2 linked regions of the Drosophila melanogaster genome follow. The protein of the gene in region 2 interacts with the protein of the main gene of each other region in a pairwise test. Each region holds a gene or a part of one and is shown on either strand. Other genes may lie near its edges.

Region 1 (8,094 bases), 1.9 Mb from region 2:
CATTCTCTTGCCGACACACAATCTTGAAACTCTCTCGAAAGCTCTGAAAACAAAGGGGCAATCCAGATCTCAAGAGATCTCCAGCAAGCAATTGGCATAAAGGATCGAGAGTGTTTAACTTGTGTTTTCGTTTTATTGTTTATCGCACATCATCATCATCTAGTCAGTGGTACAATGGCTGAATCGGTCCGATCGATCATAAGGGGTTAGGTTTTCTAGTTACTGATACATTAGGCTCGACCTTTTAACAATAAATTATAACAAAGCTGCTTAATTGCGTTAATAAATATCAGATATGGCTAAACAACAAACATAATCGTCGCTCGAATATATCTACAGATATAAGTGAACTAATCGATAGAAAGCATAATGTTCTAACTTAGATAGTTGGTGGTGGTTAACGGCAGCGAGTTAAGTTGTTTTACATGTGGAATCGGTTGGATGGTTGGCTGTTTAGTTGTTTGGTTGTTTGCTTGTTTGGGTTGTTCTCACCAGTTAGCTCTGCTGTCTAGCCAATTGTTCTAGGCGGTCGGTTTGTAGGGGGGTAATCGATAATTTACATTACTTCCTCGCTCTCTGTGTGTGAACGAAAGGAGCATATAGCAATAGATAAATCAATCAATTGTCGAATTTCGGGTGGATTGTGATTAAGCGTGAATTTGATAAATAAGTATAGCTTCAGAGCTCGCTTGATGCCGCCGTCAGAGTTAGTAGTAGTAGTAGACACAGCAGATCATATCGGAAGCTGGGGTACACTTATAATGCGGGATAGCTATGGCAAGCGGCGAGGAATGGAATTGCGAAGCCAATCGGGTGTTTAAGTTACAGCAAACCATAAACATAGCATAGATTAAATACAGATAGGATAGTGATAGGATAGAATAGAATACTGCGTAATTGCTTTTTCGAAGGCGTAGTCACCGTCACAGTCGTCATGTCAATGTCGTCATTTAGTATCGTACGTTTCGGTATCACAAAATTAATAACATGATAATTTTTACATATATAAAAACATGGCATACATACATAATACTATTAAACAATTTGAAAATACATTTAAGAACCGATCCCTTGACCTCGCAGCTTGTTAGGTGTTCTAATTATTTAATATCAAAAACATTTTAATCATTTTTTAGTTGCGACTGAGTTTGACTGTCGATGCCAACGGATCGATTAACAAACATTTAAAAAGAGTGAGCACTGGAAATTTATCTAGTCTAGGGTAGTTAGTAGTCGGTTGGTTGTTTTGTTGCTTGGTGCTGATGGTGTACGCTTGGAAGTAGTAGAGTGTGTTAGATGCAAAACAGAACGGTGCCATCAACCAGTTGAACGCATTAATGCTATTTTATTTGATGGCGGCAATGAGCGGGCTTTCTTCGCCTAGAATAAAATAAAGAAAGAAATTAATTTTCACTTTGTTTTCCATAGAGCTTTGTGGGGACTAAATCACGAGTCTTAATGTAGGGCATCCGCGGCCAAACCCAGGAAGCGGGCATCGAGCTCTCGTAGTTGAAGTTGTACAGCTGATTCTCCAGCCACTTGCGCTTGTCCTGTGGCTCAGGGTAGGTAGATGCCAAGCCTACAAAAATAATCCAAATTAGTTATATTTTCTGTTCCACCAAGATTGGTATGCTATTGGTATCTTACCTCTATCGTAGGCACATTTGGTCACGCCAACGGCAATGTTCATGGACACGTTGCGGATGCTCGACAGCGGAGGATACAGCGATCCGCGCTCAATATCGCTGGGCTCCACGAAGTTGGCCAACTCCTGGGCGGCGATGAGGAACATTTCGTCGGGTATGTGGTGAGTACCCGTGCAGATCACGCCCAAGCCAACGCCTGGGAAGATGTAGGCATTGTTGCCCTGGCCCGGGTAGAAGGTCTTGTCACCGATCTGGACCGGTGGGAAGGGAGAGCCCGACGAGAAGATCACGCGAGCCTGTGCATTTCAATCATCTCATTAGTTGGTCATTACAATATCCAATGAAAATAACTTACATCCGTGTGCTTGTAAGCATCTTCGGCAGTGCATTCTGCCTTGCTGGTGGGATTGGACAAGGCGAACACCACGGGCCTCTCATTGTTATCCGCCATGGTGCGCAGGATTTCCGGTGTGAAAATGCCGGCAGCAGCCGAGGCACCAATAAGCACCTGTTGATTAGTTTAGGATTACCAAAAGTTCCATCAGAAATAACAATTGTTATAACATACACTGGGTTTGATGGTGGAGACAATCTCGGCGAGATCTGACATCGGATTGATGTCCTTGGCGTAGTGGATTTTGTGGCCATCCAAGTTGCCCACCTTGCGGCTCTTGGTCAGCAGACCATCGATATCGACCATGTAAATTCTGTTGTAGGCCTCCTCGATGGGCACACCATCCTGCACCATGGCCTTGACCGTGAGATCGGCGATGCCGATGGCGGCCTCACCGGCTCCTGCAAACAGGAAGGTGTAGTCCTTGAAGGACTTACCCGTAATACGCTTGGAGGCATAGAGCCCAGCAACGGCCACGGAGGCGGTTCCCTGGATGTCGTCGTTGAAAGTGCAATAGGTGTTGCGGTATTTGTCCAGGAACCTAAATGCATTGTGGTTGCCAAAGTCCTCAAACTGGATCAGAGTGTTCTGGCCATAGCGCTGCACCACGGCCTCCATAAACTCGTCAATGAACTCGTCGTACTCCCGACCAACCACTCGCTTCTGACGCAGACCCACGTACAGGGGATCCTCCAGCAGATCGATGTTGTTGGTGCCCACATCCACCACAATGGGCAGGCACTGATGGGGCTTGATTCCGGCCAGAGCCGTGTACAAGGCCAGCTTGCCCACGGGAATGCCCATGCCGCAGGCGCCCAAATCTCCCAGTCCCAGGATGCGCTCACCATCCGTCACACAGATGGCACGCACATTCGGCTCCGGCCAGTTCTTCATCACATCAAAGATGTGTCCTCGATCGTTGTAGGTGATGAACAGACCATGAGGACGTCGGTAGATCAGGCCAAAGCGCTGGCAGGCCAAGCCCACCGTCGGCGTGTACACAATGGGCATCAGATCCTCGATGTTCTCCGATAGGAAGCGGAAGAACAGACGCTCATTGCGATCGTACAGATCGCTCAGATAGAGATACTTGTTCAGCGGCTCCGTGTAGCGGTTTACGGCGATCTTGCATAGCTGCAGCTGCTCCTCTTGCGTCTTGAAGCGCGCTGGCTGCAGCCCATGGATGCCCAGAGTCTGGCGCTCCTCCAGTGTAAAGGCAAGGCCCTAGAAACAAAAGCATTTGTTTATACAAAACAAAAGTGTCACACAATTAATTTAGTGCTCCTTACCTTGTTGAGTCGCGGATCACGGATGTGATCTATGCCGCGCACCTGAGACGGGCAGATGATATCGCCCACCACCTCATGATAGTGTCGAGCGGTGGGAACTGTTGCTGCTGCCACAGCAGTCTTTCCTGTTGCTGAAGTGCCGCATCGACACAATTTGCCCACAGTTCCACATAAGCTGCAAATTGCAAAAGTGCATTACGTGAATCACTTTATCAGCGCGGCAATTGGAGAACCCCCTGGGAACCCTTGACTTTGAGGTGGGCCCACTGTCATTCTTGACATTGCCACTGGCAATGGGGGGGCCCCCTCTGTCCACCCACAAACACACACATATGCATATATTTATGGAATAAAAACGCCATGCCCAAGGTCGACATCAGCTGCTTTTTGTTTATCACCGCGCTGGGCACGCCAAAATATAAAATGAAAAGCAGAAAAGAAGGAAACTAAGCCGCATTGTTTACAGCTGTCCCCCGGAATCCAAAGCGCCAGCGATAAGGGGGATGGATGGCCTGGCAACATCACGATAAAAATCTATGCACAGCCGCGGTCATAAATCTAGCATCTAATCCTCAGAATCTTAATAACTTGTAATAAATTCTTATAAATAACTTATCTAAATTCTTTAGAATAAAAAATATTTAAAAACTACAAGTTCAGTTCTACAGCTTGGATTGAAGTGCATTATTATTTATTCTCTAGGGACAACTAAAGTAGGTAATTTTCTGTGCACTTACTTGTGATCGTATCAATTTAATGAATTACAAAACCAATTGGATCATTGAACTTGAAAATGTTTTTCTGTTCTTGAAGCGTAAATACCCCCAGATAAGATTGCAAAACTAACAACTCGTAGTGAAGGGCTTACAAAAATATACAATATTATGGACCCCAACGGACTAGATCAGTTAATTAAAAACAGGTTCTGATTATGCAACACTCTTACTGTAATCGAAGTGCCAAGCGAAGATCATATATTATAAGATACCCTATAATTTTGACCCCTGCTGTTTGGTTTTTGCTAGCTGGCAGTTCGAATAGATGGTGCTAATTACGAGAGAGGCAAATATCGCGGGACAGAGGCGTGTGACTAATTTGTGTTTGCGGTTCATTGATGGAATCATGCTCGCGGGGAGTGGAATTGGGATTGGCAGAGGGTCGGTATCGGTGTCGTTGCTGGATTTTGGTCAAGTTGAAACCGGTTAGTGACGTGCGCCGGGCTGGAAACCCCGAGATCCCTTGCACCGACAAAAGGCGAGCACTTTGGGTTGATAATTATCGTTTAGGTAACGCTATCACTCGTCAATTTTTTCCATTTATTTGAATGGCACTCACATGAGCCCCCACCACGTCGAGTGCTAAACAATTTCGCATATCTGAGCCAAATACACGGAATAAGTGCGTGTCGTAAATGATACCCCCATACTCCGAGTGCTACCAATAATTATTTTTAGGGTCTTAAAAGCCCTAAGAACTGGAGTCTGAAGGAAAAAGCTGGGCAAGTTCATTAAACTCTTTACGTCTTTCCATTTTTTGTTAGCCAAATTTCTGGCTAACGGTTTGCGTGGGAACGAGAGGCAAGATAGCAGACCAGCTGAAAACATTCTTGATGAACTTGGCAACGAAAAACGCTGACAGCGGCGAAACAAAGCACACATTTTTTCGGTATATGCACTAAATTTAGAATTCCGCCAGACCATCTTTCGAATATATGTCCATGTCCATGGTATTGAAGGTGTTGTGTTTTCGCTACACAGGAAACAAAATGTTTTCGATTGTAAAAGTATGATGATAAACTTTCCATTCCTTTTTTTTTCTTAGAATACTACTAAACAATGGAATACATTCGTATTTGTACTTCCTATCCAACTGTGAATCATAGAAAATTCATACGAATTATGTGCGGCGATATTCCTCCACCGAAGAAAAGCAAAATTAAAGCACATATACTTATGATACGTAGCACCCCGTTTCTCTCTCTGCAGCCCATTGATTTTTTCAGCTGTTTCTTGTTTGGCAGCCAAAAAACGAAGACATGCATGTTCGAAAACGCTTATGCAATTGCAAGGGAAAAGTGAAAATTCTGAAAACAGCTGTTCACCGAACGGGACCAGCAAGTGCGAGAAAGGGAGGGAAGCCGAAGGGTCAATGCCAGGCCATGTGCGATTCCCAATCGGAATCCCTCTCGCTCGCACATAGCGCTTCCCAGTGAAAACGAAAGCTGCGCAGCAAAAGGAGGAGGAAAAGAGAAGGGGAAATGGGATGATATACTATGTGAATATATTGTATATATACACGGACGCCTTGGCGGCCGCTCGTCTGATCCGAGTGACTAGGTCACTGGGCTACCAGCTGGGGCAGTTGCTCCTCCCGCATCGTGAAATCTTACATAATTTGCGCCCGAGGCACACACACACCCACGCGCACACAAATCCTTCGAGGCGAGTCCTTGCATAAAAAACCAAACGAAAAAGAAAAGCTTACCTGGGTCGTGAGAACATTTTTATGTCGTATAATTGCTTTCCGTTGCGCTGCTAATATCACTGCTCTTGTGTCAGTCAAATCCGTTTGACAGTTGTCCGGCTACAAAGGGCTAATACTTTCGGTGGCGTACGGTAACTTTGCAATGCGACGCGGTCAGCGACAACGACGATTTTCCAGGAATAAAATTATAGCTCTGCGCGCGGATTTTAACCCACCCCAACAACTTACGAAAACGACACTAGTGACCAAGCGACGCGAAAGCGCCAGCGAAACTTGAATGGCACTAAAAAATGACAGATGTGCGAGGCGAATGCAGGGTGCGGTACTCCACTGGCGGACAGTGCGCACTCGAACCTTTTCGAACGGACAAGCAGTGGGGAAGCGAACCTGTTAGCCTAAAGTTTAGTTCACTTTCGAACTTTGAGTAAATTTAAAGCGTTTCAAGCCGTAAATGTTTGTACCCATTCTAATTTATTCATTAAGCTATGTGAAATACAACATTATATATTATGTAATAATTAATTATTATCATTGTTAATATTATTATTTTATTATTATTATTATTAATTTATTATTATTATTATTATCATTAATTAATTATTGATTAAAATTATTCAATGTGTTTATACTAAGCTGATTTTGGCAAATACGAATGTTAATAGTTCGAATTCGACAGTTTACCAACTTTAGTGATAAGATATACAATTAGCTATAAGCTTATGTCAAACATTGAAAATCCAACAGTACAACAATATCGCATTGCTAGTGTGAACGGTGTAGGATAGTTTTTACACGTCCTCAGCATTTTCCCCCGAACCGAAGAGCGCCATACTCTTGGCAGTACTAATCGCAGACCCCGCCGACTGGTCACATTAATCGAAAAAAAAACTTTGCTGCGAACGCACGGACGCTCCGCTGTCGACGGAAATCGCATCGCAACGCGAAGGGCGGATGAGTGCTGCGCGAGTTTAATGGAAAAGTTTGCAATCCGAGTCGCCCGACATTCGAGTGGTCAGCCTCCGCTTTGACGCACTGCCTCTGCAGGCCGCCACAGGACAACCGACGCAGTTTCCGCGAGGGAAATGCAGCTCCACCTAATGCGACCGCAGAGTCACGCGTGTGAGGAGCACGAAAAGTGAAAAAGCAAGAAGATAGAGCAGAACAACAAAAGGCAGGAAAGCAAAGTGCGAAGAGGCCAAGGCATTTAAACAAAATTCACAATAAGTGTTAAAATCAGTAATGTGCATTTAGCAGTTGCCAAACAAATAGCATTTTTCTTTGTTTTGTTTGGCTCGTACGCACTTGTGTTGGTGTACAGTGCTAGTGAGTGAGTGAGTGAGTGCGTGTGTTTGTGTGCGCGAGAGCAAGGACAACAAGAAAGAGCAGCGGAAGAGGAGAAGACGAGGAGCAGGAGCAGGAGGGGAGGAGGCAGAGCAACAACTGTGGAGCTGCAGCTGGAAAGAAACAACCTCCTGCGATGGACACGTTTAAACGCTGGCTAAACAAACCCAAGGTACAGTTTTTGTTTTCTGCTCCTATTTTCGCATAAATGATGAAAGATAGCCCGATTAGTAGTGCCCTCTTATCACTGACACAAAAAACAAACAACAAAAACAAGAGAGAGCGCAGCGCAATTAATTAAAATAGTGAGCAGAGCGCGATAGAGAGAGAGAGCAACAAATGGTGTCAAATGTGCCTGTGTGTGTTTTAACTGTGCCGTTGTGACGTCAGCCTTTGGCCCTGGCTCATTCTCATTATAGGCTAGCGCCCTCTCGCTCGCACCCTGTTAGCCAGCTGGGTTTTAACCGCATTTTCGTTTCCGATGATTAATTCGAATTCGCTGACGTTGCAGCAACTGCATCTCGGCGTGTTGTTTTTTCCTTTTTGTTTTTTTGCACAATACGTGTGTGCAAGCTGCACTCTCAATTCAAATTGGAAACACTCACCAACACATGCACGTCCGCATGCACATGTACATGCCCAAAGTAACAACAAAAACAAATATGGCGCCAGTCCGTTCGTGTTGCAAATTACAAGCAAAAGCAGCTAAAGCCAAAGCCAACTAATTTATGTATCTGCGCCTGGTAATTTGGGATCTATTCTGTTCCACTCGCAGCGGGGAAATCCCCCTCGCTATCTTGCTGTGGAAAATCACTCGAGAAAACAATGTCAAAGCTCCAGCGATTGGAGGAGCAGTCTATTCTTAGCCATCCAACATACAGTTGAAACTAGCTAAGGCGGATCTTTCAGATCCAATTGGAGGGATGTGTGATGCAATCTG
Region 2 (4,076 bases):
CCTTCCTGCTCTGGCATAGTTTTGATGATCAGTGGCTTGAAGAACTTTCCCTTAGGTGTTGTGTACTCCACTTTGGTGCGGAACATAACGCTGGCATAGTGATCTCCCTGGGCAGTGGCGGGTGATACCTGCAGATCGGTTACTTTAAGATCCGGGAGTTGCTCGTACTCTCTCAGAATATCACCGATAAACTGAGCATTTAGCCAAGCTGGCGCCTGAAGTTCGTCCGCATTATATTCAATATTTTTGCCTTCCATTTTCAAAATGTTCTATTGGGTTTTATTAGAATCAGTAGTATAACCGTTCCGAGAGCTCTGCGAACTACCAGTATAATAAGTCTGTCAAGTGACGATCATTTTAAAGAAAACCTGAGGAGCTTTTATTAAGCTTTTAATTTATTAAGGTATATTTAAAAATATTTCAATTGCTCGTCAAACTGCTTAATCTTATCATTCCTTCCAATAAACTTTGCAAAACATTGTTTAGGCCTTCAACTTAGGCCAAACAAAAGTGGAGGTGATAAGCAAAGTTGTTGTATCCTTGCTGAAAAAAGTCTTTCCGTTTCATGTTTCAGTAATAATCTTTTATTGGAAGAAATGTTCCTTTCGTAAGTACTTATGTACATATGTATTTCAACCGGAAAACAAAATAATGGAATAAACAAAATAAGGGCAACATATTTATGTAAATAAATGAGAGCTATAGACATTTAAAGTAGCCAAGTTGCTCGAATTTCGGCAATAGTTTGGAAACATCTTTAACATATGTATCCAAAAAGTAGGTTTTTTGGCGGGTTTCCGGATCCTGTATAAGGTCGTTCACTTTAAAACTCTTCGATTTGATGGCCAAAATCAAGGGCAGAAAAGTGCTCAACAAAAAGAAATCTAAAAGTTAATTAAAGAACGCATTATTATAATTTTTCACAATTCATTTTTTGATAAGTGGCTGACTCACCATAATACTTGTTCTTATGGATTTCATCCCAGAGTTTCGCTTGGGTTGGCAGTTCACCTGGGTATCCAATGCTCTTGAGGGTGGCAACCAAAACGGTTAAGTAGTGATTAATCAAGTCCTTTCCCATTTCTCTGCGTTGTTCCGGCTCCATCAGCATATAGATGGAATATGTGAGATCAATTGTGATGGGACAAAGGTTGCTAATCTGGAAATCCACCAGCATGGTATCCTCGTGGGCTCCCGTCCCCTTGTTGTTCTTGAACATCATATTGCGAAGATGGAAGTCACCATGACAGAGGACATAGAAGGCATCACTCTTTCGATTTTCATGGTATTCCTTCATCACAGCTTGTAGTCGTTGCATGTACTTATCTTTTATCTTTTCGAAATGAGGCTTATACTTTCTTAGCTCTGGTAATCTGTCCAGCATTTCAATGAAGCTCTGCATGCCAGTTGTAATAAAAGGGTCGGTCTTTACAGTGGGCATCTCGAAGAGGCCATACTTAAACTCCTTTAGGAAGTCAGGTTGCTGTTTGAGTCAAAAACATATTGGAATATAGAACTCCCATAATTACCTAAATTAAACCTACCTCCTTAATGTATTTCATGCTAATTGCATGCCATTTGGCCAGTTTAGCAAAGGCTGTTTTGAGTTCTTCCTGAGCAACCGGACGGTCTCGAATGACATAATATCCCTGGGGCACAAGGTCCTCAAATATCATCACCTTACGCGGCTCCAGGCTATGGTAAATGCAGGGAACAAATAGCTTTGTATCGTCTCCGGATTCCCGCAGAATTCTCTCGAATTCCGGAAGAACCTGGCAGTACATTCCGATCTCGGTTTCGAATAGATGCGATTCGCTGAGCATATCCTTCTTGTGTCCATCCTGCTCGGGCATCGCCTTGATGATTAGTGGCCTACTGAACTTTCCCTTCGCGGTGGTACACTCTGCAGTTGTTCGGAACATAACGCTGGCATAGTGATCTCCCTGGGCACTTGCGGGTGTGATTTTAAGATCGACAACTTTTAGTTCCGGGGAATCTTCGTACGCGCTCAGAATTTCCTCTATAAATTGACGATTCAGCCAAGCAGGTGCCTCTAGTTCGTCGTCGTTAAATTGTTCCGCATCTAACTTGTCAGTCATATTGCTCGCTGTTGCACAATCTAGTAGATAAGTGCCACGACTATTCTGAGTGGCGTTGTAGTTTATTATGGAAAACCCTATTACAGGCTTGTCCCATTTTAAGCAAAATGCTCGAGCTTTCAAAATGTTTTGCTCAAGCTTTGGGTATACACCACCACCCACTGTTCGATAATCAGTTGTAACCTCTAAGGTGGGGCTGATCCCATGTCAAGGTATAAATAGAAAAGCTATCAATTAGTATTCTTTTATAAGTCATTGCACCTAAACCGGTATCTTTCATTACAGATCTTTACATCGTATCTTCATTTCACTAAGCACTTAGTTAAAAAAAAAAAAAACAAACCACATCAAAGCAATATGTATACCTTTTCGATTACTATAGTTTCTACTGATTAGATCGGTGTCAGAATGACCCATCCAATGAAGTGACGAAAGGTAAACAAAACGCTTGATATGATTACGGTTAGTTTTATTACAAGTGGTATATAGAATGTGCTTTATATTACTTTACTAAAATATCTTAACTTAATATATAATTTTCTTTGGATACATTTTGGCTAGCTAATACTACATAACACAGTTATATTGTAAAGATTTCTCACTGGTCGGCATCAAGAAGACCCTCTGCCTCGAAATCAGGCAGAAGTTCCCGCAAGATCCTTTGAGCAATCGGATTCCTATAGCAGGCATCCTTGAAATTCATGGCCCGTTGGTTGTTCTCCATTAGGGCATTAAAATCGGCATCTGCTGTTTCCACATTTCGCTGAACTGGAAACACCGAAATGGATGTGTGGGCAGCTGAAAATCAAGAGATGAATTTGGTAATTAGCAACAGAAGGTCTAATCTGGTTACATTTTAACTCACCGTAGAATTTCTTCTGCTGCAATTGCTGGTGGAACTGATGCAAGCTTGGAATTGTGGATCGGTACTGCAGTTTTTTCAATGTATCTGCGAAATGCCTAAAGTAGTAGGCAATCAGCTGCTCCTGATGGTTCTGATGAAGATCGAACTCCAACGAGGAGTTCATGAAGTAAAACAGATCAAGTGCCGGCGATCCCCAGGCCGTGTATTGGAAATCAATAATAACCACGTCAATTGGCTCACCGGTCTGCTTGTCGTACTTAACCAGCACATTATTGGTCCAAAGATCTCCGTGAGCCAGGACATTAATGTGCCCAGGACTAATGTCGAAGATTCTTTTGCCCAGTTCCATGTAGATGGGCACCAGAGCCTTTAACTTCTCTGCGTACTTTTCGTATCCTGGCCACTGAGCCACACGCCTAGTGGCCGCCTGGAGCATGCCCACAAATGCTGGTTCATAGTTATCGGTATAGCGGTTGAAGAACCCTCGATCGTAGCTCTCGAGGATGTGGTTCTCGCGTTCGTTCAGGACCGCCGAAGTGGCATGCATTTTGGCCAGCTTACGGAGCACAATTCGAGCTAGCTTCTGGTCCAATCCGACCAAGCGATCCGGCATTACAAAGCCACGAGCATTCAGATCTTCGAAAATCAGCGCCGAGTTATCTATGTCCACCGCCATGGTTTCGGCAAAGATCTGCTCCGCATCACCGATTTCCCGGAGGAGGGCCTTCTGCTTGGGCAAGACCTGCTCGTAGATGATCATCTCACGATTGAAGATGTCGTACGGCTTCATGGCATTCTGGGCGAACTCATTCCCCTCAAATGTGGACTTTACAATGTAGTGACCCAGTTGGGAGCTACCATCGCTCCGAGTGAACTGTGCCTTCACACGGGTGAGGACTCCACCGTAGTTTTCACCCTTGCCCAAGGCAGGATTAACCTTGACCCAGTTGATCCTAATGAGTTGGTCCTTGTAGTATTTGCGCAAGGCATCCTGCAGATAGCTTTCGGTCAGCCATTCAGGAGCATCCAGGAAAACCGAAGTTTCTTCCGGCACAAGAGACTCGGGAACGGTGAGCTTGGGAATGGCATCAAGGGCACCAATCAGATCCGAA

The links.
Region 1: the proteins of CG31300 (region 2) and Men-b interact in a two-hybrid assay, tested with the Drosophila melanogaster proteins (one large-scale study listed by BioGRID).

What each region holds. Positions count from the first base shown.
Region 1 is NT_033777.3:27,149,626-27,157,719, reverse strand, and holds Men-b (malic enzyme b), read right to left. Parts: upstream 6,059-8,094; 5' UTR 5,831-6,058; coding exon 5,814-5,830; intron 3,505-5,813; coding exon 3,330-3,504; intron 3,265-3,329; coding exon 2,215-3,264; intron 2,155-2,214; coding exon 2,002-2,154; intron 1,943-2,001; coding exon 1,648-1,942; intron 1,580-1,647; coding exon 1,415-1,579; coding exon of another isoform or gene 1,404-1,414; exon of another isoform or gene 1,381-1,403; coding exon of another isoform or gene 1,346-1,380; exon of another isoform or gene 577-1,345; coding exon 557-576; 3' UTR 117-556; downstream 1-116. Other genes in the region: CG6051 (uncharacterized protein), read left to right, coding at 7,291-7,326.
Region 2 is NT_033777.3:25,281,714-25,285,789, reverse strand, and holds CG31300 (uncharacterized protein), read right to left. Parts: upstream 2,171-4,076; 5' UTR 2,100-2,170; coding exon 1,545-2,099; intron 1,484-1,544; coding exon 955-1,483; intron 885-954; coding exon 700-884; 3' UTR 566-699; downstream 1-565. Other genes in the region: CG31104 (uncharacterized protein), read right to left, coding at 1-257; CG11892 (uncharacterized protein), read right to left, coding at 2,698-2,897, 2,965-4,076.